4 linked regions of the Lonchura striata genome follow. The protein of the gene in region 4 interacts with the protein of the main gene of each other region in a biochemical or structural test. Links are inferred from orthologs where the notes say so. Each region holds a gene or a part of one and is shown on either strand. Other genes may lie near its edges.

Evidence for each region.
Region 1: the proteins of UBE2D1 (region 4) and ARIH1 form a complex in vitro, tested with the Homo sapiens proteins (4 studies listed by BioGRID). The link is inferred for Lonchura striata from reciprocal best matches to the Homo sapiens genes UBE2D1 and ARIH1.
Region 2: the proteins of UBE2D1 (region 4) and TRIM25 form a complex in vitro, tested with the Homo sapiens proteins (8 studies listed by BioGRID). The link is inferred for Lonchura striata from reciprocal best matches to the Homo sapiens genes UBE2D1 and TRIM25.
Region 3: the proteins of UBE2D1 (region 4) and MIB2 form a complex in vitro, tested with the Homo sapiens proteins (2 studies listed by BioGRID). The link is inferred for Lonchura striata from reciprocal best matches to the Homo sapiens genes UBE2D1 and MIB2.

The regions. Positions count from the first base shown.
Region 1 is NC_134613.1:6,955,105-6,962,357, reverse strand, and holds the start of ARIH1 (E3 ubiquitin-protein ligase ARIH1), read left to right. Parts: upstream 1-4,247; 5' UTR 4,248-4,320; coding exon 4,321-4,683; intron 4,684-7,253. UniProt on the Homo sapiens protein: E3 ubiquitin-protein ligase, which catalyzes ubiquitination of target proteins together with ubiquitin-conjugating enzyme E2 UBE2L3.
Region 2 is NC_134621.1:7,694,466-7,701,952, reverse strand, and holds the start of TRIM25 (E3 ubiquitin/ISG15 ligase TRIM25), read left to right. Parts: upstream 1-4,482; 5' UTR 4,483-4,515; coding exon 4,516-5,142; intron 5,143-6,181; coding exon 6,182-6,277; intron 6,278-6,708; coding exon 6,709-6,942; intron 6,943-7,487. Other genes in the region: COIL (coilin), read left to right, coding at 101-196.
Region 3 is NC_134626.1:2,459,592-2,466,522, reverse strand, and holds the start of MIB2 (E3 ubiquitin-protein ligase MIB2), read right to left. Parts: upstream 3,006-6,931; 5' UTR 2,774-3,005; intron 1-2,773. UniProt on the Homo sapiens protein: E3 ubiquitin-protein ligase that mediates ubiquitination of Delta receptors, which act as ligands of Notch proteins.
Region 4 is NC_134609.1:2,765,079-2,772,139, reverse strand, and holds the start of UBE2D1 (ubiquitin-conjugating enzyme E2 D1), read right to left. Parts: upstream 3,019-7,061; 5' UTR 2,935-3,018; coding exon 2,911-2,934; intron 1-2,910. Other genes in the region: CISD1 (CDGSH iron-sulfur domain-containing protein 1), read left to right, coding at 4,266-4,296.

The sequences.
Region 1 (7,253 bases), on a different chromosome or scaffold from region 4:
CTAAGGAGTGTGCAGACATCCAAAATCAAACCCCAGGCACTGGGAAATCTTCTGGATTTCCTTTTCCCAGCATGGGAACTCTGTATGTCTCTGGTGGTGGAGAAGAAAAGCTTTTTCCAGAGATCCTGCCTGCCTCAAGGAATGCGGGAGCAGGAAAGAGGCTGGGTGGGATGGGAGGTTCACCCTGAATCTGCAGGCGGTTTGTGGTGTGGGGCACCAGCACTTTCACAGCATTTTGGTATCACGAATCAGGGCTTGTCACGAGGAGATGCTGCAAGTTCTTGTGGAGGCTGAGTACATGTGGCTGCTGTCCCTGGCTTCTCCCAGCCACGGCTGTGGGGCTGAGGTGGAATCAATCAGAGCCTGTGGATGCTCCATGACAAACTCCCTGTGCCCAGAGGCGATGCTCCCATAAATCCTGTAAGCATGTGCTTAACTTTGGGGAGCAAGGTGATTGCAAGGCAATATTTTATTCTTGTCAGCTTCAGTGTTAACAGTTACCAGAATCACTTGGGTAATTAAGCTCTTGTAAGAATAAAGTGAAAAAGCACCAGGTGTCTATGGAGATCTAAATCATTTTTCAGAGTGGGCAGAAGAGCAGTTTTTGGCTTTCCTCAGTAGCTGGAGTCCTAAAATCCCCAGAGACAGTGCAGATCCCCTCCAAATGAGGTAAAGGCAGCAGCCCTGCTTTTCTCAGGTACATTTTGGCAACCACCTACAAGAAACTGGTGGGTGACCAGGGCTTCGTACGTGACCATTGATTGGAAATTTCAAAATAAAGAAAGGCCTTTTGCAAAAGGCATGGCTAAAATTTTATTCCAAAAGGTATTTTTGAGATGCATTAGTGTAACTGTTGCTGGAGTAACCGGCTGCAAAATGCTGATGCCTGTCTTGCAGTTGGGAAAGATAAGGCTGGGACTGTAGAAGGTGAACTGATTTCCTTTATCTGTGGGACGTCATTGGGATGATCTCATCACTGTTTATAAATATTTATTACTGGGATCATAGCATGGTTTGGGTAGGAAGGTAGGTCCCTACCTCTAAAAATATCTTGTTCCAGCACCTGCCGTGGACAGAGGCACCTTCCACTAGCCCAGGGTACTCCAAGCCCTGTCCAACCTGGCCTTGGACACTTCCACCATCTCCTCTGGGCAACCTGTTCCAGAGCCTCTCCACCCTCACAGGGAACAATTTCTCCCCAGTATCCCATTGAACCCTGCCCTCTGGATGTGGGAAGCCGTTCCCTGTGTCCTGTCCCTCCATTTCTTCCCCAAGTCCCTCTCCAGCTCTCCTGGAGCGCCTTCAGGCCCTGGCAGGGGCTCTGAGCTCTCCCTGGAGCCTGCACCCCCAGCTCTCCCAGCCTGGCTGCAGAACCTCCTTTCTCTGGGCTCCATGCAAGACTCTGGGCTGAGCTCTGCAGCTTTGGCTAGGGCCAGGACAGGGCTGTGGGGAAGTTCTTGGAGCACCTGGAGATGGCCAGTCCCTGTTCCCAGGAACAGCTGCTTCCCAAACACGCACCCAGGTCTGTCCCCGAGGGGAAGATCACCTCAGCCAAGGATTTTTGTGTTCAAAGCTACCAAAGTTCAATAAAGCCAAACCTCATTGTTTGATCAGTGCCTTTCTTGGGGTCCCGTGTTCAAATGAGCAGCCCCAAAATGGCTTGTGCCTTGTCATTGTTGGCCAGGAGCTGGGCATGCCACCAGCTGAACAAGACTAGCTCAGAGTCCCAGGGGGTGACACACAGTCCCCCGTGGGGAAGAAGCAGCGGGTGAGGACCTGGAGCAATCCCCTGAGCCCACACATGATGTGTGAGGTGGGACCAGCCTGGCAGATGTCCAGATGGTGCATCTGGAGCTGAACCAAGTGAGGGCTACTTACATTTATGTAGGGCAGGATGATTAAAGCTCTGGCCTTTGCAATTCCACCTAAGTTGGGTAATTAGAGAACTGGCTTTATTGACTGGGTAGCATGGCATGAGGCAATGAGCATGCCCAGTCCACACCCCCTGTGTGCTTGACCTGAGCAGAGCAGAGCTCAGGGTGCTGCCTGTGTGTCTGAAGGTACAGCCGGGTACCCAGCAGGGATTCTAGAGACATCTCCCAGGCCATTGGACACTTAATCTCCCCGGACCCCTGAGGGCACCTGCATGTGTAAACCCCTGTCACTGCAGCCATCATAATGCTGTGTTTCAGCAGGAAATAAACATCCTTTGGGATGCAGCTTCTAATTTTCTTCCTGTTTCACAAGGGATTTGTGTGAGACAGAAGCAGGAAGCAGGATCCTGCTGCAGCAGATGACTCCTGTCCCAAAGAGCTGATGAAATTTGTCACACCTACACCACATACTACCCTGATGAATCTCATCTTCATCCTGGCAGAGTAACGTCACCACATCCAGATGACCCCACTTCACTCTGAGAAGGAATTATTCCCCAGGGCATGAGGAAGTGGAAGGTGAGCACCAGTGGGAGAAGGTGGCCCTGGAGCCCTCCCGGGGCTGTGCCAAGCTCTCACATCCATGTTGAGCAGTGGTGGAGAGGGGGGAGCAGCTGGTTCTCCTCTGGGCCAGACTGCAGCCTTGTTTCCAAGCCAACCGGAGTTCCGTGAGCTCCCTGAATGGCTGCAGACAATGAGCCCAGCAAGCCTCCTCCATATCAGGCTGAGCACAGCTGATGCTGGAGGCAGGGAAGGCTGAGACAAAGGGTGCTCAGCCCCTGCAGCACCTCAGTGCCCATCCTGCCCTTTGCTAGCAGCTCAAGTTCAGGTGAGAGGTTCTGGCAGGGATGAGACCACGCGGGAACAGCATTTCTGAACTGCCCAGGGCACTTCTCAACCCAGAAGGTAAAAAAGTCTATCCCTGGTCTGGGGATGAAACCTCAGGTGTTTTTCTCTCTGCAAAATGCCAAATTAACAGAGAATAAAGGGAATCAAACCTGGCACCAGTGAAAACCCAGTAGCACCATCTTCACAGACCAGAAGGCAACACTGGAGCACAGTGAGGGTCATCCCAGGGGTGGTGGGCTCATATTTATCCCATGGAATGGTTAGAAATTTCTGCCTGGAGGGTCTCAGTGCAATGTTATTCTGATTTTGAGGCAGTGCAACCTATTTTCCTATACCTTTCCCTCACATTCCCCTCATATTTGTATCACATTGTCCTCACAAGTCGCTTGCTAGAGACCACTCAATTTAATGGTTGCATTGGGAGTCTTCTCCACACTTGACCCACAGTACACTTCAGAAGGGCTCCATGCCCCAGCTCCACCTCATGTCTCATCACTGGGCAGAAGGAGAAGCTGGTAACCCTCCCAAACCTTCTGCTTCCCCACCCCTCCAGCTTCATCAGAACTGTAGGGATAGGACAGTATAATGGGTACAAACTGAAAAAGGGACATTTTAAGTCACATACTGAGGAGAAATTGTTCCCTGTGAGGGTGGTGAGGTCCTGGCACAGGGTGCCCAGAGCAGCTGTGGCTGCCCCTGGATCCCTGGCAGTGCCCAAGGCCAGGCTGGACAGGGCTTCGAGCAGCCTGGGACAGTGGAAGGTGTCCCTGCCCATGGTAGGGGGTGTAATGAGGTGAGCTTTAAGGTCCATTCCAATCACTTAATATTTGTGGCACCAGGAGCAGCTGAGGGAGCTGGGGGAGCTGGAGAAAAGGAGGCTCAGGAGGGACCTTCTGGCTCTGCACAACTCCCTGGCAGGAGAGGACAGCTGGGGAGGTCAGGCTCTGCTTCCAGGGGACAGGACAAGAGGAGACGTCCTCAAGCTGTAGACTTGAGGTTAGGCTTGGGTTGGACATCAGGAGGAATTTCTTCATGGAAAAGGTTGTCAGGCATTAGATGGGGAGATGGTGGAGTCCCCATCCGTAGAGACGTCCAAGGAAGGACTGGACGTGGCACTCAGTGCCGTGGTCCGGTTGGCAGGATGATGTTGGGTCTCAGGTTGGACTCGACGGTCTCGGCGATCTTTCCCACCACAGCGGGTGCGGTGTTTCCGCGGCGCTTCCCGCCCGCAGCCGCCCTGGCGCCGCGCCACACTCAACATGGCGGCGGCGGCATGAGGCGGGCGGGGGCTGGGTGGGGGCGTGTCGCGCACCCAAGATGGCGGCGGCGGGCGGGGTGAGATGGCGGCGGGCGCGCAGGCGCGGGCGGGCGGCGGTGACGCGCGGGGCGCGCGGTGACGGAGCGCGGCGGCCGCGGCCCTTTGTTGGCGGCGGTTGAGGCGCGGCGGGGCCGGGCCGGGCCGGGGCCAACGGCGGCGGCGGCGGGGCCGGGCGCGGGGAGGCCGCGGGAGCCGCCGCCGCTCCCTCAGCGCCTCGCCATGGACTCGGACGAGGGGTACAACTACGAGTTCGACGAGGACGAGGAGTGCAGCGAGGACAGCGGCGCGGAGGAGGACGAGGAGGACGAGGAAGAAGACGAGCCCGACGATAATCTGGACCTGGGCGAAGTGGAGCTGGTGGAGCCCGGGCTGCGCGTCGGCGGAGAGCGCGACGGGCTGTTGGGCAGCGACACGGGCGGGCTGGGCCCCGGCGGTGGCGGCGGCGGCGGTGGCCTGGGCGGCGGACCGGGCCCCGGCGGCGGCCCCGAGCAGGAGGAGGATTATCGCTACGAGGTGCTGACGGCCGAGCAGATCCTGCAGCACATGGTGGAGTGCATCCGCGAGGTCAACGAGGTCATCCAGGTGCGGCCCCCCGGCACCGGGACTGGGGCGGACGCACGGGGGAAGGGGCGCGGGGGGTGGCGGGCCGGGCCGGCGGCCTCCTGCGGGCACCGGGCCGGCCCGTCCGCGGCCAGGGCCTCACACACACTTGCCGGTAACCCCCGGGGCTGGAGGGGGCTCAACTCGGTATCCTCCGACGCTGGAGGGGTGGGGGGACGCCTCCTCTCGGTACACCCTGGGGGTGGAGAGGGCTCCTCGTCACCCCCGTCTCCCGGGAGGCCCCTCGGGCACGGCTAGGATCTCGCTTCCTGCTGTGGAAGCGTCGGGAACGAGGCCTTTGGCACTGAAAGGGCTCCTCTTTGTGTGGTGGCGAGCTGGGGGCCGTAATCTATGTTTTTGTCTTTATTCCGCTCCGTTCTCATGGTGTTTGGCAAGGTGTAGCTCCTCCAGCTCCTTCGGTAACCCGCGGAGTCCATGGCAAGCCCTGGAATTCCAGGAGAGGCACCGCTCTGGTTTTGTTGCCGTCTCCCTTCCCTTCCCCCCTCCACGCATAGAGGTTGAACCTTGTGTTTATTTCCAGCAGAGACCAGGAGGGGTACGAGCAATCCCTTCACAACCGTAACTTTTTTTACTCTCAGTCTTTAAGCCTGTCTCTTTAAGACTGAAATAGAGTTTGAAATAACATTTACCTTCTTTAGATCAAAGTATCTAAGTCTTATTTCTTGGCTCCTAAGTTTTTTGGGGAAAAAAAACAAGCCATTGAAGCGGTTTAGCATCCCTTTCTAAATGTTCGTGGCAAGGTTCGGCTCTAGCTCACCATCAAGTTCCTGTTGCAGTTCACTTTTCTTCAGGTGATGGGATTTCTTTAGTTCCCATATACTTTACGATTACTCAGAGTCGGTAGGCAGTGCTACCCTTTTCCAGTATGCCAACGGGAATAGCATGAGAAATCTGTGCATAGGAAGTAATGAGGGATCCAGTGTCCAGAAAGGAGTTGTTTTGCTGGTTGTGTGTGTTGGTAAATCTCTTTAAACACGAGATGCCTCAGTGAATGTTTTTTCTCTGGCTGTCCTCTGCAGTGGCTGTAACAGCAACTTTAAAATATTGCTTTATGTGCTATAATCCCCTGTAGTTTGTACAGAGCTTGATGCAAACAGCTGTAAAAATATTTGCATGCTAAATTAGTAAATGGCATTCCTTGAGTCAAATTAAAGTTTATAACTTTACTGATAGCATTGCCCATGTAAAGGTGAATAAAGGAGTCTGCCCGGATTAGCTGATTACCCTGCAGTTAAAGAAGATCTCATGGTTAAACAGGGATGTTTATTTGCTCCTAGTTATCGATCCTGATGTAGGGAGGGAAACAGTTGGCAGGCAGACATGCAAACAGTGGGGACCTTCAGCTTTTTACTCTTTCAAATAGTCATTAAAATAGTGAGTCTGTGTTTAATGATTAAGATTGCAAAAGTCATGGCCCATTCTGTTTGTATTGAACAGACTCTGCCATATTCCTTATCTTTGCATAAGACAAGTGGTGGAAAAGTTGCTGCCAGTGAAGAGCTGAGAGTGTTCCTGCTCCTGAATTTTCCAGACCCAGCTGGTGGACTCACCTGCATATTCTTCATGAACTAATTTGTTAGAGAAGGTCCTGATTACTGGTCTGAGTAGATTTGCCCTCCTCTTACACCACCCTGAAGCTGTTTGACTTGTGTGCTCGACCTGTGAGTTGCAGAAATAGTGGAGAGAAATGGGTTGAGGTGATGAGCCCCTTGTTCTGTCCCATCCCCGGGGTGTCAGCGGGAGGCCTGACCCTGTGCTGGGCTCTGCAGAACCACCCCCCTCGACCTTCCCGTGGCTTCTCTCCTGCTCCAGTTGCTGCTTGGGGTTTGCAGTAGTTCCTCCTGGTTTAGCAGAGAAGGGTGCACAAAGTCTGTTTAGATTGTCATGGGTTAAGTCGGGGCCCAAAACCAACTTAGGCCCTGGAATGCATCAGGAGATATTAGGAAAGCACTCGGTTGCCCTGGATGGCTGTTAAATGCCAGCTTCCTGCCATTAGATTTCTGGGCTCTTCCGAGGTAAGTGGCCTGACTTCTGCCGATACTTCAGGAGTTGCTCATAAGTTGCTCATCCTCACTCCTGTGGCTGCTGGTGAAATCTTCCAGGGCTCAGTTCTGTTTATTTCCTTGTGTTTGGCAGCCAACCAGGATTGCTGCTGCTGCTTTTCTGGTTCAGTAAACCTTTTCTGGAGTCACATTGGCTTGGGATCCTGCTGCGGATTCTGGGTTGCTGAGCTGTGATTCACTTGTTCCAGTCAAGTACTGGATGGCTTTTGGTCTGTGTGTGTCTGCCGTGGGTTCTTGTTAGCAAATAGTGATGGTTGTGGTTACATTTTTGAGTGCTTTGAACTTACTTGTTCAAGGGAGATGTAATGTACAGCCTGAAAACTTCAGCTGTGGGTCTTGTGCTCTCTAATGGGTGATTTTTTTTTTTGCTGATCAAGTGTAAGGTATAAATGGGGTTTTGTTTTGCAGCTGCAGTGAAAGGAAAATAGAACAGGGACCCACAGAGTATTTGCAAGGAGGTATCTGAGT
Region 2 (7,487 bases), on a different chromosome or scaffold from region 4:
GATCTTGGTTCAGTGGTCCAGGCAAAAGCATAACAGCACAGAAATTGCATCTGCTGGTGCTGCTGGCACCTGCCAAGTGCTGCCTGTGGTTTGTTTTCAGATAACTGAGAGCTGGGATGCGCTGATAGAGCCAAGACTGATTGTGGAGCCTCCAGTGAACGGATCCAGCGTTGCAAACGGAACATCTAGTGTGTGAAAAGATGTGAACAATTGTACAGATCTGTTCTATGAAGTGCTGTCTTCTGGTTCTGAGGGTGGCAGGTGCACTGATGGATGTTACTGTCTTAAAAGAAGTAGGCCAGAAGAAAAATGTTTTTTTTCCCTTAGGTTATGTTTTTATGTAATACATGAAAACTTTGTTTATTATAGGAAGTCTAATGTAGACCTGTTGGGTTTGAATATTTCTACTGTACCAGGCTGCAGAACTGGAATGGTTTGATTAAAAGATAAAACACAACCCTGTACTGTGAGTAATTGTTTAAATGTCTGGGTTTGGCTAGAGCTGTGTGACTGCCAGAAGTCACTTTCATTTAAAAATTTATTATAAATATTGTTGATGTGCAGAACTGTCCCTCTGCTGTTGCCACAGCATACAGATGCTGTGATGCTGTAGTTACTTAAAGAGTTCACCTAAACATATCCAGAAAAGCATGTGGATTTCAAGGTTTCTGTAATTTTGAGGCAAATAAATAGCACTGGTGACTGTCAACTTTGCTTAGAACCAGTGAAATACAACATGAACCCCTGGCACAATTGTGTCCTGCTGTGTTAATCCATGTAGGCTCTGAAAGCCTTTATTGTTGGTTTTAGAGAAAACCCTCTTGCCCTTTAAGTGATGAAGTTGCTGTGCTGCCTTTCTTCTTCCTGCTTCTTTCCTTTCTTCTTTTTTTCTTCTTTCTACTTCTTTCCAGCAGCACAATGGGTCACCAGGTGCTGGCAAGGCGCTGCACTGACAGCTCTAATAATTATTATTAGCATTGAGGGGGACCTTGTACCTCTGGAGCCTTGGCAAGTCTTACACTTTCAGATAATCCCTGTGCTAGGTAGCTGCCTCCTACAGGAAAGACATGTGAAAAAGCAACCCTAGATACAAAGACCTGAAAATTTGTAGATTATGGTTTAGCTGTCATGTACTCTGACCTAGTGCATGAATCCATTAAAGTTCTGTGCATTTTTGCATCAGCCCTAGTAAAATGCCTTGTTTGTGAAGGAATCGTTTTTATACAAGTAAAATGTATTTGTGTTTTGTGGTTCACTTTAGATACCATTATTTCATGCTAGGATTTGCTTTTTTAGATAACAGTTTGGTTAGATTTGTGTGGCTGTTCTTGCAAACTGAATGAAAAGAGGATGTCAAACAGGAGCACAGTCATGCTCAGACAGTGAGGATTAATGGAAAGATTCTTTTTCTAAGGGAATTGTTACTTGTTAATTCTTAGGAAGTTGCAAAAGCTAAATGCAAATGTTTCACAGTACCTGTTGTTCCATTGCCTCCATTTTTGGCATGATTTTGAGTCCCTCTGGCTGTGCCACACGGGTGATGCTGGAAAATAAATACACCCCTGAGAAGAGAGGGTGTTTTGAAGGTAAAATCTTGAGTTTTATTTACCCACTGTTAGCAAGTCAAATCAGACCAAGGGCAGGCAATCTGAGGGAACTGCCAAGAGCCCTGCCTGTCCCATCCACATCCTGCTCTGAGGAATCTGGGATGGGACAATGTGCACGTGAATCCCACAAGGAGGTGGTGAAACACTGAGCAAACCCTCACTGCTGCCTGTCTGTCCCTGGGGCTCTCCCATCGCTCAGCCCCCTTGCTGGGGGCAGGAATGTGAGGTGCCTTTTATCCCACTGTGCTTCTAAAGCCCTGCTTAAGCTCTGCGGGGTACTTGGAATGTGCAGTGGCTGGGCAAAGGGTTAGTTTCAGTTTGGAATCACAGGAAGTTCTCAAGTATTTGCAAGCAGAAGTGAGTAATAACTTAAATAGCTATTCAAATGCTAGCAATAATTTTTTTATGTTAAAATTTATTGTCTCATAGACAACAGGAGTGGTTGGGCTTTCTCCAAACCAGAATCTCAAGCCATCTTTGACAATGTGGAACTTAAATTGCTCATCTGAACTCTAAACATTCCGTGCCATGCTCCAGAAGCAGAAGCTGCAGTTGTGAGGGTTTATATTTACCTTTTTTATTTGCATACCTTTGTCTATATCAGCTGATTCCATATGAGTGCCACAGAAAATACAGTGAAGGTGCTGAGTGTTTGAAAGATGACAGAGGTTTAGTCCAGATAAGCCCAGGGTGGGCTTATCTGGACTGAGGAACCTGTGGAAAAATAAAAAATGCAAACATTAAGAGCTGCTCTTTTGTCCCATCTCATGCACAGCACAGCTCTCTGAGAGTGTTCCTTTGCCATCCCTCTCAGCCACCCCATCAGGTGTTTACATTTCTTGTAACAGCAGTTACAAAGTCCTGATCAGCACATCCCAACCATGCTGTAAACCTGTGGCACCGTGCGCATTTCCTAGAAACTCCACCCTCGAGCACATGACAGAGCTGATCCTGAACTTTTGCTCCTGTCACAGCCCTGCAGCTCCCAATGCCTCCATTGTCGGTTCTGCGCCTGTATCTGTTACTGGGCAGTGACTCAGAGCCCTGTGACACACAACCCCTCTGCAGCTTATCCTGAAGGAGTGTTAAAAGGCTGGAGGGATAACTGGTGTAGGTACAAGTCCATGTTATCTGTACAACACAGCTTTACAATGATTCTCCAAATTTAATTTAATAGTCCAAAAGAACTGGCTAGGAGCTGATTTCACTTGTAACAGACCACCCAACATTGCTTCTTTTGAGTGCTTTATATTGAGCATGAGCATGAGCCAGCAGTGTGCCCAGATGGCCAAAAAGGCCAATAGCCCCTGGCCTGTATCAGCAACAGTGGCCAGGGAAGTTATTCTCCCCCTGTACTCGGCACTGGTGGGAGCACACCTTGAGTGCTGTGTCCAGTTCTGTCCCCTCAGTTTGGGAAGGACGTTGAGACCTTTGAGCCCATCCAGAGGAGGCAACAGGGCTGGAGAGGGCTGGGAACACAAGCCCTGTGAGGAACGGCTGAGGGAGCTGGGGGTGCTCAGCCTGGAGAAAAGGAGACTCAGGGGTGACCTTATCACTCTGTACAACTCCCTGAAAGGTGGATGTGCTCAGGTGGGGTTGGGCTCTTTCACCAGGCAGCACTGACAGAACCAGAGGATACATCCTTAAGCTGCCCCAAGGCAAGTTTAGGTTAGATGTTAGAAAGAAATTCTTCACTGAAAGAGTGGTTGGGCACTGGAATCGTCTGTCCAGGGAGGTGGTGGAATCATCATCCCTGTAGTTTAAAAAACAGACTGGATGTGGCAGTTAGTGCCATGGTTTAGTTGATAAGGAGGTGTTAGTTTAGGTCATAGGTTGGACTAGATGATCTTAAAAGTCTCTTTCAACCTAGTTCATTCTGTGATTCTGTTTAACTCCTGAACATTCTTGGAAGTCCCCAAGAACTAACGCCAACAAGATGGCCTGCTAATACTTTTAAATTACATTAAAGGGAAGCTCAGCAGTTCTCCACACAAGGTGTTCTTTGCCCACTGGACAAGAGTTGAGAGCACATGGCTCCTTCTGCTGCAGGCCATCAGGTTCTGTTTAAATTATTGGGGGGTCACAGACTTTGTGCCAGGCTGCTCCTTTTATCCCTGCTGCCAGCATGGGTGGAAAAATATAGAGGGTCCCAAGGAAATCCCTGGGACACCAGCAGACAGGGCAGAAGAGGGAGGAGGAAGAGGCCACTGGAACAATTTGTGGTCAAGTTAGTTAAGACAGGAGTACTTGCCATGTTGCTATTCAGCATCAGTGTTCCTGTTAGAAATGGTGATTATTGAACAGTTAGACTAAGAAAAAGAAATCTGAGGAAGCATCTCCTGTTCAGATGGTTTCCACAATCACAAATCAGTAACCTGTGTGCTTTGAAAACGTTGCCCTGACATCACCTGTTGCAAACAGATTATTTTTAAGGTCCTTTCCAACCCAAACCTATGAGTCCGTAGGATTTCCAGCACCCATCTGACCCAAAACTCGGAGCAGCTGGGGCGGTGCTCGGGGCGATTTGGGTTCAGCACTCCCTGAGCCCGGGCGGAGCGCTGCTGTCCCGGGTTGCCCTGAGCCGGAGCGGGCCGGGCAGCGCCCCGAACGCTCCGCTGCGGTTAGAGCCGACCCCGCGGCCCCGGGCACCTCCGGGAACGGTGCCCGGAGCCCCGGCCCGGAGCCCCGGCCCGGCGCTGCCGCGGGGTCCCGTTCCGCGGGGCTGCGCCCCCGGCATCCCGGCGCTGCCCGGCCCCCACATGGGCGGGCGCCCCGGGTTCGTCCCTCGGCTGCCGCCCCTCCCGTCGGGGCGGGGATGACACGCAATTTTCCGGAAAGCCCCGGCCGTAGTTTCGTTTCTCCGAGGCCAGGTTTGCTTCGGGCTCCTGGGGCAGCTGCGGACGGGGCGATGGCGGCGCTGGAGTCGGAGCCGGGCCTGTCGGGGCTGGAGGAGGATCTCACCTGCTCCATCTGCCTCTGCCTCTTCAGCAGCCCCGTGACGGTGCCCTGCGGGCACAACTTCTGCGCCTCCTGCCTGGAGCTCAGCTGGGCCGGCCTCTCGGGGGGCTTCAGCTGCCCGCAGTGCCGGGCCACCTTCGCGGCCCGCCCGCAGCTGCAGAAGAACACGGTGCTGTGCCGGGTGGTGGAGCAGCTCCAGGGCCGCTCCGGGGACAAGAGCGAGGAAGAGGAGGAGAATGAGGGTGGGGATGGGGATGGGGAGGCGGGGGGGTGCTGGGCGGGCGAGCCCCCCGTGTCCTGCGACAGCTGCCAGGAGGCGCCGGCCGTGCAGACCTGCCTGACCTGCACCGCGTCCTTCTGCGCCGAGCACCTGCGGCCGCACCGCGACAGCCCTGCCTTCCGCGACCACCAGCTCTGCCCGCCCCTGCGCGACCTGCAGCTCCGCAAGTGCCCCCAGCACAACAGGCTCTTCGAGTTCTTCTGCAGCAAGCACGGCGTCTGCATCTGCTCCCTCTGCCTGCTCGGGCACAAGCTGTGCCCCACCAGCCCCTTGGAGGAAGCAACAGCCACTGCCCAGGTGAGCGGCCGGGGCTGGCCGGGGCTGGAACATCCTCCCAAGGGCACCCCGGAGCGCCCCTTGCCTCCCTCGGTGCCGGGGGAGCCGCTCTGGAGTGCGGGGAGGAGGCCGGAACAAGACATCGACTGTAAATCTCGGTCTGGCATTGATAAACTGTTATCTGCCTTCCAACATGTGCTCAGGCACGTCCTCAGAGCCATTCCTTCCATTTTCCTCGTCTCTCCAAGATGTTGCTCAAGAGCAGGGGTCTGGGAAGGCGCTGCCAGGGAGCTGGATTGACAGGGCTGGGCTGTCCTAGTCTGGGCTGGGTTTACCAGCGAGGCTCCCATTCTCTGTGGCGTCAGCCAGAGCTCTGAGCCTCCTCTGCTGCTCTGCTCCCTGCCACGGCTTGTCACAGCCTGAGGGGCCGACATTCTGCTGCAGATGTTCTTAAGAAGAAGAATTATAAAGGTATCCTAGGGAGACCTCAAATATGTAGATGAAAGCCAGAAGGAGTAGAAAGGAAGGAAACCTGGACTTTATATTTTCCAGCACAGCTGAAAATCAATGTGGATGAGTGAAGTATGCTGAAAAAGTTTAGATGGTCAAACTCCCATCTGTTCAGTGGGTGTGTACACAGTGTAGCTGCAGAACATAGCCCTGATTGAGCTTAGCAGAATCTTGAACTAAAGGAACAGGTAAATCACATCTAAGAGAACATTCTCAAAAGGAGAGGGGTGAACAGTAGCATCAACTCTGTGCTGGAAGTCTGATGTGAGAGCTAATTTAACATTTATTCTTAGCATGAGAACTGCTGTGCTGATGAAAGCATAGGTCGTTTGTGAAGAGAGTGTCAGCAATGGCAATATGCTCTTGGGAGAGGTGGGGAGGGTGTGGGTGCCACAAGCCATATTTGCAGGATGCTACTTTTGCACCCCCTAAGATTCAAGGAAAGGTAGGTTTTAAGCTGAGAGTACTAAATGCTTACAAGAGTATTCAAAACTGAGAGCAGACATGACAATTGCCTCTCTGAAATACTTTCTGGTCTTTCCTGTTGCAGTCGATGCTGAAGAAAAAACTTGTGGAGCTGCATAACCAGGGTGAAAGAACTGCCCGGGCAATGAGCACGGTGAAAACAAAACAGAACCAAACTGCTGTAAGTGGAGAACTGCTCAGAGTACTGTTGGCTTGCCTGGCACCCGCTGGCCACTGCATGGTGTTGGTGATTTTACCCTTGTGACAAGGGCTGTAGTGCTGAGGCTGCATTGGCAGGAGAAGGTGTTACTGGGAAGCAGCAGAAAAGAGGAGTTTTGGCAGGGCCAGGCAGCTCTGGGGGACATAGGAATAAACCAGGCACTGTGCAATGTCTTATACCCTCACGTGAGGGTGACACTGAGAATGGGCTCCATTCCTTGTGAGTGAAGTTTTCTTTCCAAACCACATAGAAATCGACAGCTCTTCTCTTGCTTGTTTAAAGGAAGAGAAGCCCACATGTTCCTCAGAGGCTTTCATGCAGTAGCACTTAGAGTATTTTGTTTACAAACTGTTGTTTTGAAACCAGTACCTGTCTGCTCTTGTCTACCCCAGGAGACAGCTTCAAGAAAGATGGAATTAATCAGAAATGAGTTTTCAGAAGTTAAAGCTGTAATTGAAGAAAGAGAAAATGAGATCATGAAAGCAATTGCAGAGGAAGAAAAGAGAGTTTGGAATAAGCTTGATTATATTTACAGCGTTCTGGGAAATAAGAAGAATGAGATTCAGTCTCTCAAAGATCAGATTGAGATGGCACTAACTGAAAGTGATGATGTTCTGTTTTTGAAGGTAATGTGTCATTTAAATGTGAATCCAATTCTTCATTCTAGAATGCAGAATGACAAAAACTTCCTGTGGTCATCCTGCTCTCCAGAGACTTGCAGTGAAATGGAAACACAGTGGCGTGCAAGAACCTCCTATCAAAAGATGTCCTGAAAAGTAAACAAGTATCAGTGAAAGAATGTTGAAGGGGTGTTGCTGTTGAGTCAGGGAGGGACGAAAAGACTCCCGTGGTTCAGAAGGCTTAAAGAATGTTTATTAAGTAGCAAGTACTTTTGTAGTCTGACTCACTAGGGTGGAATACGATTGGTGTCAAAGTAAAAACCTTTCACACTATTGGTGCACACTGTGGTAGAATATGTCTATAAAAACAACATGAACAGAAAGAGAGATAATAATTGTTTGAATTCTTTCTCCTAACTTTCCCAGGCTGAAGCCTGAGAGAATTCTCTCTGTTCTCTCTTCGACTGAGCTGAGAGCCTCCACAAAGGGATGTCTGGTAACTCTCCCAGTTCAGCCACTGCCTCTGCCACAAGCAGAGGGGTCACTGGGCA
Region 3 (6,931 bases), on a different chromosome or scaffold from region 4:
CAAGGCAGCTGAAAAAGCCATGGACATCCCTCTTCCCAAGAAAAAAGGGAAGGAGACAACTGCAATCACCACACTTACAGTACTCCCACAGTTTCTTGCAGTTTCCCAGACATTTGACAAAGTTTTAGTGGAAAAGGCATCCCAGTTCTTCCAAACAATCCCAGCAGTGCCCATTGCAGACCAAAGCAGGAGAATAACAGATTCTTCACACACGGATTTGGCACAGGATTTTCGCAGGCACAGAGCTCCAAACATGCACTCAAAATAAATGTCAAAACATATGATGCTGTACAGCAAAATCAGAATAAGCAGAGAATTGTGCTGAGCCAAGTATCACACAAATATGAAGCTCCTTCTCATGGCAGTGACTCACAGAGCTGTGCTGTGCAAAGAGGAGAGCATAGGAAACACATTCACCTTTGTGAAGCCTAAAAAGAAAATAACTCTTCAATAAAACAGAGCCTGTGGTGATGTTGGTAAATGACAGTTTGTTAATAATGCTGCAGGCAGCCTAAAGGAACTCCTGATCTTCCACCACAGAATTAAATAATCTGAAAAACAGGCGTAAGGTACTAACGCCTGTTAGTGGTAGAGCTGAGAGTACAGAGAGTTATCTGATACCCAAATATTGCCCTGTAAGTTAAAAAAGAACTTACTAAAGGAACCATCAGGTGCCCAAAAGATGTCACCTGCTCCAGACTCAAATCTACACACCCAGAATTCAGAGCAGAAAGCAAAGCTCAAAACAGGGCAAGAACCTCTCCAGCTCCTCCAAGGCTGTGGAAGCTTCCCCTTTCTTATCTCCATTATCTGCCTGTCACACAGCATCATTCCCACCATAAAAATGTGAGATGTGGTTTATTTACAGGAGCTGCATCCCTCGACAATTCACTCCTCCAGATCCTGAAACCATGAATGAAAAATTCAACAGGTAATCAAGCATTGGAGGAAAGTCCTAGAAGGATGAACAACTGCATCATTCTTCACAGCAAGCAGTTTCAGGAAACCAGGGAGTTTCTAAACAGAGGAGAAATAAAAATGGTATCTCATTTGAGCCAAATACACTCCTCCTATAGCAACAGAGAAGTGCAGAGGATGTCATGAGGCTCTTAGCCAAAAAGAGAGAAGGTTCAGCAGTAAAGCCAAGCTCAAGTGACCTCCATGAAGGTGAGCCAGGGCTCACTTGCTTCTCAATGAGGTAGAAATCAGAATTTGTGACATTCAGAAAGTAATTCTGCAGCAGAGCATGGGCAGTGAAATGACAGCAAACACCTTCAGTGCCTCCAGCACAGCTGCACCAACTTCTCTGGGTTTATTTATTTAGTCTGGCCCTTTCTGCCTCCACTCAGGCAGACTGGAAATCCAGAAACACGGCAGAGAAAAAGCCCCATGTGCCTCAGCTTCGAGCTTCCTTCCTCACATGCTCCAGGGAAAATGAAATTCCCAGCAGGAATTGCTGCCCCCAGCTCAGGCAGCCCGGCCTTACCTGCAGTACCTGTCAGGAACAGGACGGGAACAGCACGGAACAGCATGGGAACAGCACGGAACAGCACGGGAACAGCACGGGAACAGCACGGAACAGCACAGAACAGCACGGAACAGCACGGAACAGCACGGAACAGCATGGGAACAGCACGGGAACAGCACAGAACAGCACGGGAACAGCACGGGAACAGCACGGGAACAGCACGGAACAGCACGGAACAGCACGGGAACAGCACGGGAACAGCACGGGAACAGCACGGGAACAGCACAGAACAGCATGGGAACAGCACGGAACAGCACGGCTGCTCCCACCTCCAGGGCGCCCAGGAAAGCACCGGGAAAGCTGGAGCACAGCAGCGCCGGGTGCGGCCTCAGTCCCGGCCAAGGGGACAGAACCACCCGGGCCAAAGGGGCCAGAACCACCCAGGCTAAAGCAATCAGAACCACCCAGGCTAGAGGGGTCAGAACCACGCGGGCCAAAGGGGCCAAAACCACCTGGGCTAAAGGGGCCAGAACCACCCGGGCTAAAGGGGCCTCAATCCAGGCTAAAAGTGATGGAACCAGCCTGGCTAAAGCTGCCAGAACCACCCCGGCTGAAGCAGCCTCAATCCCGGCTAAAGCTGCCAGAACCACCTGGGATAAAGGTGCCACAACCACTCTCTCTAAAGTGGCCTCAATCCTGGCTAAAGCTGCCAGAACCACCCGGGATAAAGGGGCTGGAACCACCCGGGATAAAGGGGCCGGAACCACCCCCCTAAAGCGGCCTCAATCCTGCCGAAAGGTGATGGAACCAGCTCGGCTAAAGGTGCCAAAACCACCCGGGCTGAAAGGTGCCAAAACCACCCCGGTATACGGGCCTCAATCCCGGCTACAGGGGCCAGAACACGTAGGCTAAAGGGGCCAGAACCACCCGGGCTAAAGGGGCCAGAACACCCGGGCTAAATGTGCCAGAACCACCCGGGCTAAAGGGGCCAGAACACCCGGGCTAAATGTGCCAGAACCACCCGGGCTAAAGGGGCCAGAACCACCCCGGTATACGGGCCTCAATCCCGGCTAGAGGGGCCAGAACCACCCGGGCTAAAGGCGCCAGAACCACCCGGTATAGGGGCCTCAATCCCGGCTAAAGCTGCCACAACCACTGTGACTGAAGGACCAGCACCACGCCGGCTAAAGCGACCCGAACCCCGGCTCAAGGGGCCAGAAGCACCCCGGTGAAGAGGCCAGAAGCACCCCGGCCGCTGCCCCATCCCGAGGGAACACTCCCCGCGGTGTAAAGCCGGGCACGTACCTCAGCGCCGAGGCAGAGCCGAGGATCCCCGGAGCCACCAGCCCGGCGCCGTCCCTGCTCCATCCCCGCCCGGGCGGGCGGAGAGCGCGGGCGAAGCCGGGCACGGGGGCTGCGATCCGCCCTGCTGCCGGGGCGGCTGCGGCAAAACAGCCCTGCCCGAGCCCCGCCGCGGGTCCGTGTGTCCCGGAGCCGCGGGCCCGTGTGTCCCGGAGCCGCGGGCCCGTGTGTCCCGGAGCCCCGCCGCGGGTCCGTGTGTCCCGGAGCCGCGGGCCCGTGTGTCCCGGAGCCCCGCCGCGGGCCCGTGTGTCCCGGAGCCGCGGGCCCGTGTGTCCCGGAGCCCCGCCGCGGGCCCGTGTGTCCCCGGGCAGGGCCGCGTCCCCGCCGCAGCTCGGCCCCGGGGCCGCCCCGCCTGCGCTCCCGCGGGCAGCCGGGAGCTGTAGTTCCGCCCCGGGCGCTGCGACTACAACTCCCGGCAGCCCACGGGAGCCCACGGGAGCCCACGGGAGCCCACGGGAGCCCACGGGCAGCCCACGGGAGCCAAGGGGAGCCCACGGGGAGCCCACGGGGAGCCCACGGGGAGCCCACGGGCAGCCCACGGGAGCCAAGGGGAGCCCACGGGGAGCCCACGGGGAGCCCAAGGGGAGTCCACGGACAGCCCAAGGGGAGCCCACGGGAGCCCACGGGAGCCCAAGGGGAGCCCAAGGGGAGCCAAGGGGAACCCAAGGGGAGCCCACGGGAGCTCACGGCAGCCCCGGGCCCGGCCCGGCTCGGCTCGGCTCGGCTCGGCCCGGCCCGGCTCGGCTCGGCTCGGCCCCGGCCCGGCCCGGCTCGGCCCGGCTCGGCCCGGCTCGGCCCGGCCCGGCTCGGCTCGGCCCGGCTCGGCTCGGCTCGGCCCGGCTCGGCTCGGCCCGGCTCGGCCCGGCCCGGCCCGGCCCGGCTCGGCTCGGCCCGGCTCGGCTCGGCCCGGCCCGGCCCGGCCCGGCCCGGCTCGGCTCGGCTCGGCTCGGCCCGGCTCGGCTCGGCCCGGCCCGGCTCGGCTCGGCCCGGCTCGGCTCGGCCCGGCTCGGCCCGGCCCGGCCCGGCTCGGCCCGGCTCGGCCCGGCCCGGCTCGCCCCGGCCCGGCCCGGCTCGGCTCGGCCCGGCCCGGCTCGGCTCGGCTCGGCCCGGCTCGGCTCGGCTCGGCTCGGCTCGGCTCGGCTCGGCCCGGCTCGGCCCGGCTCGGCTCGGCCCGGCTCGGCTCGCCCCGGCTCGCCCCGGCCCGGCTCGGCTCGGCCCGGCTCAGCCCGGCTCGGCTCAGCCCGGCTCGGCTCGGCCCGGCCCGGCCCGGCCCGGGGATGCGGGAAAGCCCGGGGCAGCGCCCGCCGCGGCCGGGCGGAGCGGCTGTGGGCGCCGCAGAGAGCCGATGGCTGCGGCAGCGTCAGAGCCTGAACTCTGGGGCTGCAGGCTGCAAAGGACCGGTGCAAACCCAGCTGCTGCCGCTCCGTACAGCCTGGAGGACTCGCTGTCCCTCGTCCTCTGCGTTGGCCGGGCCAGCTAAACGCACCAACTGGAAAAATGTGAATTTTGGAACCAGGGGGTTGATGTGCCTTGGTGCTGGCACGGCGTTTTCCATCGGCCTTTGGCCAGAGGGTGAGAAGGGAGTGCCAGGGAATGTTTGGGATGTGCTCAGAGCGTGCTCTGGTCTTCCCTCAGCTCGGTTCTTGCCAGGCAGATTTATGTTAATGCAGGTGTAAAAATGAATTTATGTTAATGTAAATGTAAAAATTATTTACGTTAGTGTAAATGTAAAGAGGAATGCAGGTGAGTGCAGTCAGCACCAGTTGTGGAGATCCATCCATAGGGTTTTGGGCTCACTCAATAAATACTGAGATAATTCAGCACTTACTTTTGTCAGTGCTTGTTCTAAGCTTGCATATCCAGGCTCTGAGTTATGTCAGGTTGGGTTTTTTTTTTTCCCAAGCTAATTTCTCTTTAAAAAATAAAACCAAAATATTATACAACTTTAAAAAAAAATAAATTAAAGATAATCTCTCTTTTAAAAAATAAAAATTAAAACCGAAATGTTTTTAAATTGAAAAGAATTCAAATTCAAGCTGATCTCTCTTTAAAAAATAGAAATTAAAAATTAAATAGTTTAAAGTTGAAAATAATTAAAATTCAAGCTAATCTCTCTCTAAAAACAAAAATTAAAATAAATTGTTTAAAATTTGAAAAAAATCAAGCTAGTCTCTCTTTTAAAAATGAAATTAAAAATAAAATTGACTATTTGCAACGTTACTTTATCAGATATCACCAGCCCAAAATGCAGCAACGAAAACACAGCTTGGATTTGAAGGAAAATAGCACTGAATATTGGGGAGAAACCTCTGTTTTTCCGTGCTCCTATCCCGGTTTTCCAAGGGTTTCAGCAGGAATCGTTCTCTGCCCGCTGGATGCCGCTGTTCCATAGAAATATTCAATATTCATGGGCTTCCTTCTGCACCTCCGGGCAGCCATGGAAGCCACTCCAGGGTCACCAGGCTATGTGCATTTACCCTTTTTTTGGTTTTTTTGGGGAAAAAAAATTGCCTTTTTTCCCTCCCAAAAAAATCTCCTTAATATTTTGCACCTTCCAGACCTGGCACGTGGAAAACTGGGGCCACTCGGTGCTTTTGTGATGTTCTTGGAAGGTGAATATTTCATGAGATCAAAATGTATGGGTGGGATAAAAATGTATTGGTGATTGAGGGGAAAACAGGCTGCCCAAAATGTGTTTTCAGGTATAAAATATCTCTATAAAATATTTTTTTTTAAATTATCTATCTATCTATCTATCTATCTATCTATCTATCTATCTATCTCTATATCTATATCTATATATAAAATATCATTCTACATATCTATATATAAAATATCATTCTACATATCTATATATATAAATATATTTTAATATATATAAAAATAAAATATAAAATACAAAAATATAATATATAAATATAGAATATAATAGTATAATATTATATATAGTATATATAATAATAGTATATATAGTGTGTATATATATAGTGTGTATATATAGTGTATATATATAGTATATATATAATATAGTATATATAGTATATATATAGTAATAGTGTGTATATATAGTATAATAATCATATATAATAGATCATAATATATATACATATATAAATAGATAAATATATATAATAGACAACAATATAGAATATAGAATATGATCTTGTATATAATAAAAATAATTATATTAATAATACATATTGTATAAAACAATAAATATATTAAATATATGAATGTATACATTCTAAAATATACAAAATCATAAAATATAAAATAATTCCCCCAAGTGCATGTCCTGTTTTGCATGTTTAATACAGGGGAAAAAAATTTGTTTTGGAGAATCCTCTCCTTAAAAGCAGAGCCTGGAAGAGGCACCGGTGTTACCTTCGGAGGCAATGACCTGGATAAAGCAGCAGGGATGAGCGTGCTCCCACTTTTCAGGGAAAAAACCAATTTCTATTTAGAGCTCAGCTCAGCCTCAGACAAAGCAACGTGACCTACATCCCAGCTTGGGGAATTAACTTTGAGGAAATTCGGTTCCACGCTTTATTTCTCCTCTGAAGAAAACAGAACCACAGCTTAAGAGAATCCAAGCCCAAGGGGGATTCCTCTTTATTCCTTCCCAGCTGTTTTTAGCACTGAAAAACAGCTGGGAAATGTAGCAAAAATAAGAATGAAGGGTAGCAGGAGCAGGCAGGGACAGACCGTGATCCTGTGCCAACAGTTCTGCTCTTTGAGGGGGATTTGGGGTTTCTCCTCTTCCTCCCGTGACTGCTCCACACAATATCTAGGGCAGGATGCTCAGCATCACTGAAAAATTAGGAAAACTGGCTCAGTCTTCCAGCCTGTGCTGAGTGTCAGGTGGAAAATTGGCTGAATTCTGGGATGGCTGTGTGGAGGAGGAGCATAGCAGAGAACAGAAACTCATCATAAACTGCGAAACATCAAGTTTTCCCCCTGCACTCTGCCCACCTTCCTCAGGAAAAAAAAAAGCAAAAATAAAAATAAAAAATAAAAAATAAAAAATAAAAAATAAAAAATAAAAAATAAAAAATAAAAGGCAAAATTCCCATTCAATTGTTTCAGTGTTGCTGACTTTGG
Region 4 (7,061 bases):
GATATCTCACTTTCCAGAGGTGGCAAGAATAAAGGCTTCTTTGCACCATATTTGTTCTGTTAAAAAACCTACATTATTTGTTTTGCTTTCATCATTTGCAACATCTGGAATTTACACTGCCCACAAAAATCTCTCAGTTGTTCTTTCAGTGCCCCAAGGAACATCACAGATGGTGTAACTGAACTTTTTTAACAGTATAGAAATTCAGTGCCTCTCTCATACAACAGCAAAGCAAAACACACACAAGGCAAATGAACACAGGACCCTCAGTTTATGATGAGTAAGAATCCCCCGACCCAAAACTCCCTGAGGAACTTTGAGATGAGTTTGTCACAGAGACACTGCTGACAGCTGTGCCTGCAGAGCAGGGCTTCATGTCCTCACTGTTCTTACAGCTACAGCACGAAGGTCAACATAGCTCCATGTGCAGTGATCAGCTTCTTCACTGCTTACTCAGTTGCCCATTTTTAAAGAAGCTTCCAAGCACAATATATCTTTCTGTAACTAAGGTACAGTCTTGGAAGTCCACATGCTATCCTCCTTTGAGGAGCCCTCAAAGATGATTAGCCAAAGGCAGGATGCAATGACACAGGTCCCAGTGGTGATATTATTTAGAAATCAGACAGTATGACAAAAAAATATGCTTACTAACAGGCTGACATATTACAGCTTTGCTTCCTTTGTAGGTGTTATCACAGTGAACAGACAAATTATCAAAGTTACTGTGAACAAACACTCAAGCTGACACTAAAATCCTTTGGCTTTGTTCTGAACCACCCTAAACCTACAAAAGCTTAACTTCAGACAGTATGTCTAGACTGATGAGCTCCAAGCAATATCGCTGTGTTTGCTGACACTGTTTTGTTCTCCAAAGAATTCCTCTAGGCACTTTGAAACCACAGCACTTCCTCTACTCCAGATCTTACCCCCTCCTATCCTTCGGACACAACGTAACTATGAACCTTTACAGCCAGTCTGAAACACCAGGAAAGTAAGTGAGACAAACACACCAACATACAAATGCATTTCATCTACCGTTAAACTTCCATTTCCATAGTTTTGGGGAAAATTTTATGTATTACAATGACATCATAACAGTTTGTCTTTTCAAACTTCTCCATTTTAACTTTCCATTTGAAACAAATTTATTTCCTTGCCATTCCCTTTCCTTTTCTACTTCTCAAGAAACAGACTTCTAGCCAAATCCCTCTGGTAGAATTCTTTTTCTTCTCCTGGAAAGGCAGAAGAGAGTGATGGGGGTACTTAATGGGAAAAAAAGAAAACTAGCAGTAGTAATTTCTGCAGCAAACTAGAAGCAAGTGGTAACCAGTTCCAATTTAATCTCAACTCTTCTTGGACTTACCTTACCCAGTATCTGTTCATGTTTCAGATAGAACTTATTGTATAACTAGGCAATCTCGTAGCACCTCACAGTCAGCAGGTTAGAAAGCATTTCTTCATTTTGAAAGAGTAGAAACAGAATTTAATAAAGCTAACAGAATGAAAGATACTTAGATAAAAAGCCTAACCATAATTTCACATCTATCAAAAGTTCTTAAATGCCACATTAAAGAAAATTGTGGCTTTCCGATATGTATAAACATCTCTAAAGAAGAAAAAAAGTTATGCAGGCAACATGATAAAAGTATGAAGACTAATTAATTCAATTCCAGCAGGACCTCATTTAGAAAGCCCCAAATCATCACTTCATCTCAAAAATACTAGATTACCAGACTTCTCCCTTTGTGTGTTTATTTTAGCAGAAAGAAGCTGAACAAGAATTGGAAAGATATCGTAATCAGAACAATCCTTTTATTGAAACCTGAGGACAAGGAGATGTTCAAGAAGAGGTGGGAAATGAAAGTGACAACAAGAGGCAAACCATTTGTATAATATGTAGAAGCACGACAAAGTTATTGCTAAAGAAAACCATTGTAGTAATTTGTTAATATTTGATATAGTGGTCGAATGCAACAACCATGGCAAAGGTGATATGAAGGAAAAAAGTTGTCCTGTAATTGCACTTTGTGTAAAGGCATAGGCTTTGCAGCATGGGACAGGACTACCAACTTCTGAGAGAAATCCATCCAAAATAAGTTGAGATCTACTGTAGGGTATCCCAAATCTGCCTACCGTGGGGTTAATCCATCTCTATAGAATCCTATTTCAGCAATACCAATGGCTTCTGACAGCAAATGGGAATCCTGCACAAGAAATAATCGCACCGTCACATAACCAGGATAGCAGCAATGCCGCCTTAACAGGGCACATCAACAGCAACCAAACACCAGGGATTCTGTTCCACGGCCAAAGCACTAACCTTTAATCCAGCCGTGCTGGCCGCGGTACCGTGTCCGTACTGCACAGCGGTCAGCTCAGCCTTGCCAAACAAAAGGAAACCGGGAATCCACAACTTCAACCAGGCCCTTACAAGTACCAGCCCAAAACACCACCACTGGGATACGCTCAAAGGTCACACCAAGAACTGTGCTGACAACGCTTCTTAACCCAGCCTACGGCCCCGTTACACAACGGCAGCGACGGATGTTGTCCTGCGCCTCTGCTGAAGGCGCCGGCAGCACCTCGGCTTTCCCCGCTCCCGGTCCACGAACGGCGCCTTGAGCACCGGCTCGGGGCGCGGGGCCTTCAGGGCGGCAGGGTCCCGAAACCGAGAGGCGGCCGGCGAGAGCCCCCCTCCTCCGTCTCGCACCCACTCTTCTTCCCCGGCTGCCGCCGAGGCAGGGACGAGTCCCGGCAAAGCAAGCGCGCGGCAGCAGCTGCCGCGGCACCCCTCGCTGAGCCCGGTCCGGCCGCCGCCTACAACCCGCGGCACCGGGGAGGGGGCAGCACCGGCGACTACCCGAGGGCAGGGGAACCTTTCCGCCCCCTCCCACGGCTCGCCCCACTCACTTTTTGTATCCGCTTCAGCGCCATGGGAACGCGCGGCGGGAGCGCGAAGCAGGCGGCGGGAGCGCGGGGCGGGAGCGCGGGGCGGGAGCGCGCGCCGCGGAAGCGGGAGGGGCGGGGCCGCAGCCGCCGGGCCCTTTGTGCGCTCCTGCGCATGCGGGGCCGCGGCCGCGCGCGGGGCTCGCCGGGAAGCGCAGTCCGCGGGCGGAGCGGCTCTGCGCGGGCGCGGGAGCGTCGGCCGGGCGCGCCCCGCCCCTCGGGCTCCGCGGGGTCAGTCCGTGTCTGATGAACACGGGGGGAAGGCCGCGGCCGGCACGCGGAGAGGTGAGGAACAGGAAAGTAACCGTGTGAAGCTTCAAAACTGCATACAGGGAAAAGGTGTATCATATTCGTCATGGTGTGTGAGAGAAGCAGTAGACGTGTGGGTTGAAAAGTCTGTTGAACAGGTCGTAGAATTATTAAAGTTGAAAGAGACCTCTTAAGATCGAGTCAGTGCGGAGCAGTCACGCAGAGTGCACTGGGGCACACACCCACAGGATTTTCTCTCTCAAGGTTTGGAAGGGTGCAGCCTCCTTTTACCCTGAACTCCCGGCTGCACGTTGCCCTCTTTCTTTCCCCACCGGCTGAGGTACTAGGAAGGTACAGCCTTCCCGAACTGCCTAGCACATATTCCCCCCTCGTATATGTAATTTTCCCCCAAAGTTCAGAAATTCGGGCTTGTGCCAACCCATTTGTTTCAGAGTCACACTGTCTGGGTTCTCTAACAAACCTGTGGCTTGAAGTTGGTAGAGACATTAAGGTGCATTTCAAAGACATTAAAACCCATCCCTCACCTACGGAAGCATTTTGTAAAGACATAAGTACACATCTTTGCTATAAGGTCCAACCATAAACGAGGTCCCAGAGTCATTAACCAGGTATAGAACTTAGATAATAATTTTTTGAGGTATAGTAGTTCTCACATCAATACCCAAGCTTATGAGGTTCGAGGCGGCTGTCACTTGGTGGATATCACTTTTCCGCTTAATCTTTCCACAACTACAGAGGAGAGGGCGCACGGAGCGATCTGCTCTAAGCGTTTTGCAGAGCAAAACTGACAGAAGAAGAGAACGGCGGCGCCGAGCCAGCGCGTGTGCGCAGGACGCACAGGGTGCCCAACACCCATGTTAGAGCTGCAGAGGCCTCCCTGAGCGCCCTGCGCCGGGCGTCGGGCCAGTGACAGCGCTGCCCGCTCCTCCCTCCCGTCCCGCACGCCGTAACCTCCGCCTGTCCTCTCCCCGCCGGGAGGCCTTGAGGGGGCGGCCCCGCGGCCATCTTGGGCAGCGGCGCGTGCGCGGTGCGGAGCGGCAGCGGCAGCCATGGGGCCGGGGCAGAACAGCGCCGTGAGGGGTATGGCTGGCCGGGAGCCGGAGGGCTGAGCGGCCCGGAGGGGCGGGGCGGGCCTGGGGGCCCGCGGGCGGGCGGCACGGGGGGCGCCCCTCGGGGGGGGGCGGCTCCGCATGGAGCCCCGTGCCCCGGCGGACCCCCGGGACAAGATGGCGGGCTGCCCGCCGCCGGCCCCGCGGGGTGCGGTGGGGCCGGGGCGGCCGGGGGGATCCGCTCCGCAGCAAAACCCCTCCCGCGGCCGGCGAGGCGCGAACGCCGCGGGCAGCGCGGAGGGGCCCCCTGCCCCCGTCCCGCCCCTCTGCAGAGCTGTGAGGGCCCGCAGCGCCGAGCTTCGGCCCCGCAGCGCCGAGCTTCGGCCCCGCCGCGCCGAGCTTCGGCCCCGCCAGCGCGCTCCCGGATTTTATCTGTAGTGGGGACAGTCCGTTTCAGACGCCACTGTTTTGTTTCTGTGTTCCACCTGTTGGAGTGAAAATTTCGGGAAAACCGGTAAATTTTAGAGGTTTTGTCTGGCTCTCAATGCCCGCTGCTGTACAGTAGAGGTAACGGTGACATTCGCGCTGTGTAATGATTGACTTGAACCCTGCCTGAGGTAGCGTTGTGTGTTTTAAATGCTGTTGCACAACCGGACAGGATGAAAGAGTTAGGCCGGGTAGAGGATAGAATAGAAAGCTGAATTATCTAATTTTCTCTAAAATATTAGCTTCACATGCGTGACTGGTTTCCACTTGCAAAGCTGTTCATGGTGTATGTCCTTAATTTAGCGGGCAGATGTGTTTTTTTTTTTTTTTTTTTTTTTTTTGGTTTTTTTTTTTTTTTTTGGTTGTTTTTTTGAGGGGTGGGTAGGGTGGAGATTACTGGTACAGAGGATGCTGGCAAACACATTAGTCTAAAATGGGCTATAGTGGTGGAAGGCTATGCTTGTTAAAATAATCAAATCACTGAGAATCACTTGGTAATACCTTGCATCCAGGTTGTGTTCCCAACGGCAGCTTGCTGTCATTTATAATTTTGCAAGAATTTGAACAGTTCCTAGACATTGGGAATTAAGCAGAAAATCTGTGTGGAGATGGGAGAAGAATATGCTCTTAAACAAACTGAAAATATCCTCATTGTCTAACAAAAGCATAGGAGCAGCTGATGGCACTAGTCTGGAGGGTGCTCTGTTTAGCAGGAGACAGCATTAGGTTTTTGTGATTTCTGAAGAGATAAAACTTGATCAATGCCTTGTGACTAGCAGGCAACATTTCTTCCTTCAGCTGGCATGTGTCTCAGGCTGATGAATTTTGAAAATCATTCTCTACTGAAAACTAGACATCAGAAGCTTACCATATTTTTGTGAGATTTCATTCGTGGTAGCAGTGGGGGGAGTTAATTGCTTCTGTGCATGTGTGCCCTTTGGAAGGCAGTGAGTAGCACACCTATTGCTTTTGGTTTGAGAGGTGTGGTTGTTTGCAGGTGTGACCCCACACCAACCACAGATCTGATCATGGTGACGAGTCTTTTACAGCTTGGTGAAATCCAGCAATCTTCTTCCCTCAGGTGGCCTCTTTGCCATATGTCTTCTGTTGAATTAAACCTGCCAGTCATAATCTCATTTTTTTGTCGGTGCTGTGGAGTGGTAGAAGTGATTTTGTCAGCTTGACTGCTTGACTTTTACTGTTAGGTTTTTTTGTGTATCTAGTTATCTTGATACACTTCAGTAAGTGAGAATCACGTGTTTCTCCATTATTGATTTTTGTTGTGGGCAGTGACACTACTGGACTGTCATGAACAACTCTTGCACAATAACAGTCTCTTCATTGGCAACAGAATTGGCAAGAAAAATGCTTGAAAGTTACAAGTACTTCTGGAGACATACAGTTTTTCATGTCAGGTGTTATTACTCTGTGACTTTAGAATAACATAAATATTTTCCGAGCAGCAGAGGTAACTTGACTGTTGCCTCTTAGGGCAGACTTGGACTAACTTTGTCAGGGTGTAGCTCTCCCCCATATTGTTGATAGTTGCTAGAATGTAAATTGATCTGGGTTCTTAACAAGGATCTTGGTGGAGGCAAGGCCACTTCACTTTCTTAATCCACTTCTCAGTGCAGTTGGTAAATGTATGTTTTCCTGTGGATATAGTCTCAGAGCTCTCTAGCAGATCCAAAAACTCCCTCTGTAGTGTAGACCTGGAAACATCCAGAGCAATGCTCTAGATATTTAGAGAAAGAAGAAGAGAGGAGAAACTTCGATCTAAATATCTTTCATTAGGATATGTCCAAAGAATACAGAAGAGAATAAATCCCTATCAGTGTCTTATTGCCATTCTCGTCTCTGATTTTTTTTTTTGTTTACTTCTGTGCACTGCCTGCTCTCCTGGGGCTTCATTCTTTGAATTTGTTTCCTTCTTTCCATCTCTGTTGCTGTCTCTTCTCTCATTTGTGTGTTAATTTTAATGGAGTTCTAGCCAAATTTTTTTTTTCATTGTTTAGTGCTTAAAACACAAAACCAATTTTTTTTTCTGCCATGTTACACAGGCCTGTTTTGTCTTGTCTTGTAACACTGTGGTTTGGTATTATACCAGCATTTGGAGTTCTTTAATAATAACTCAAAAGTTGCTCCTACTGCTTTTTATTTTAGAAGAAATAAAAACCCCTTGATACTCTACATCAGTGTCAGTCTGTTAACAGATGCCTCATGCATGACCTTAGGATTTTTGGCAGCAAACTGTTGCATTGGCACCAGAGGTCTTTTGAAACCAGAGGCCTTTTGAAACCGTTCAGAGTA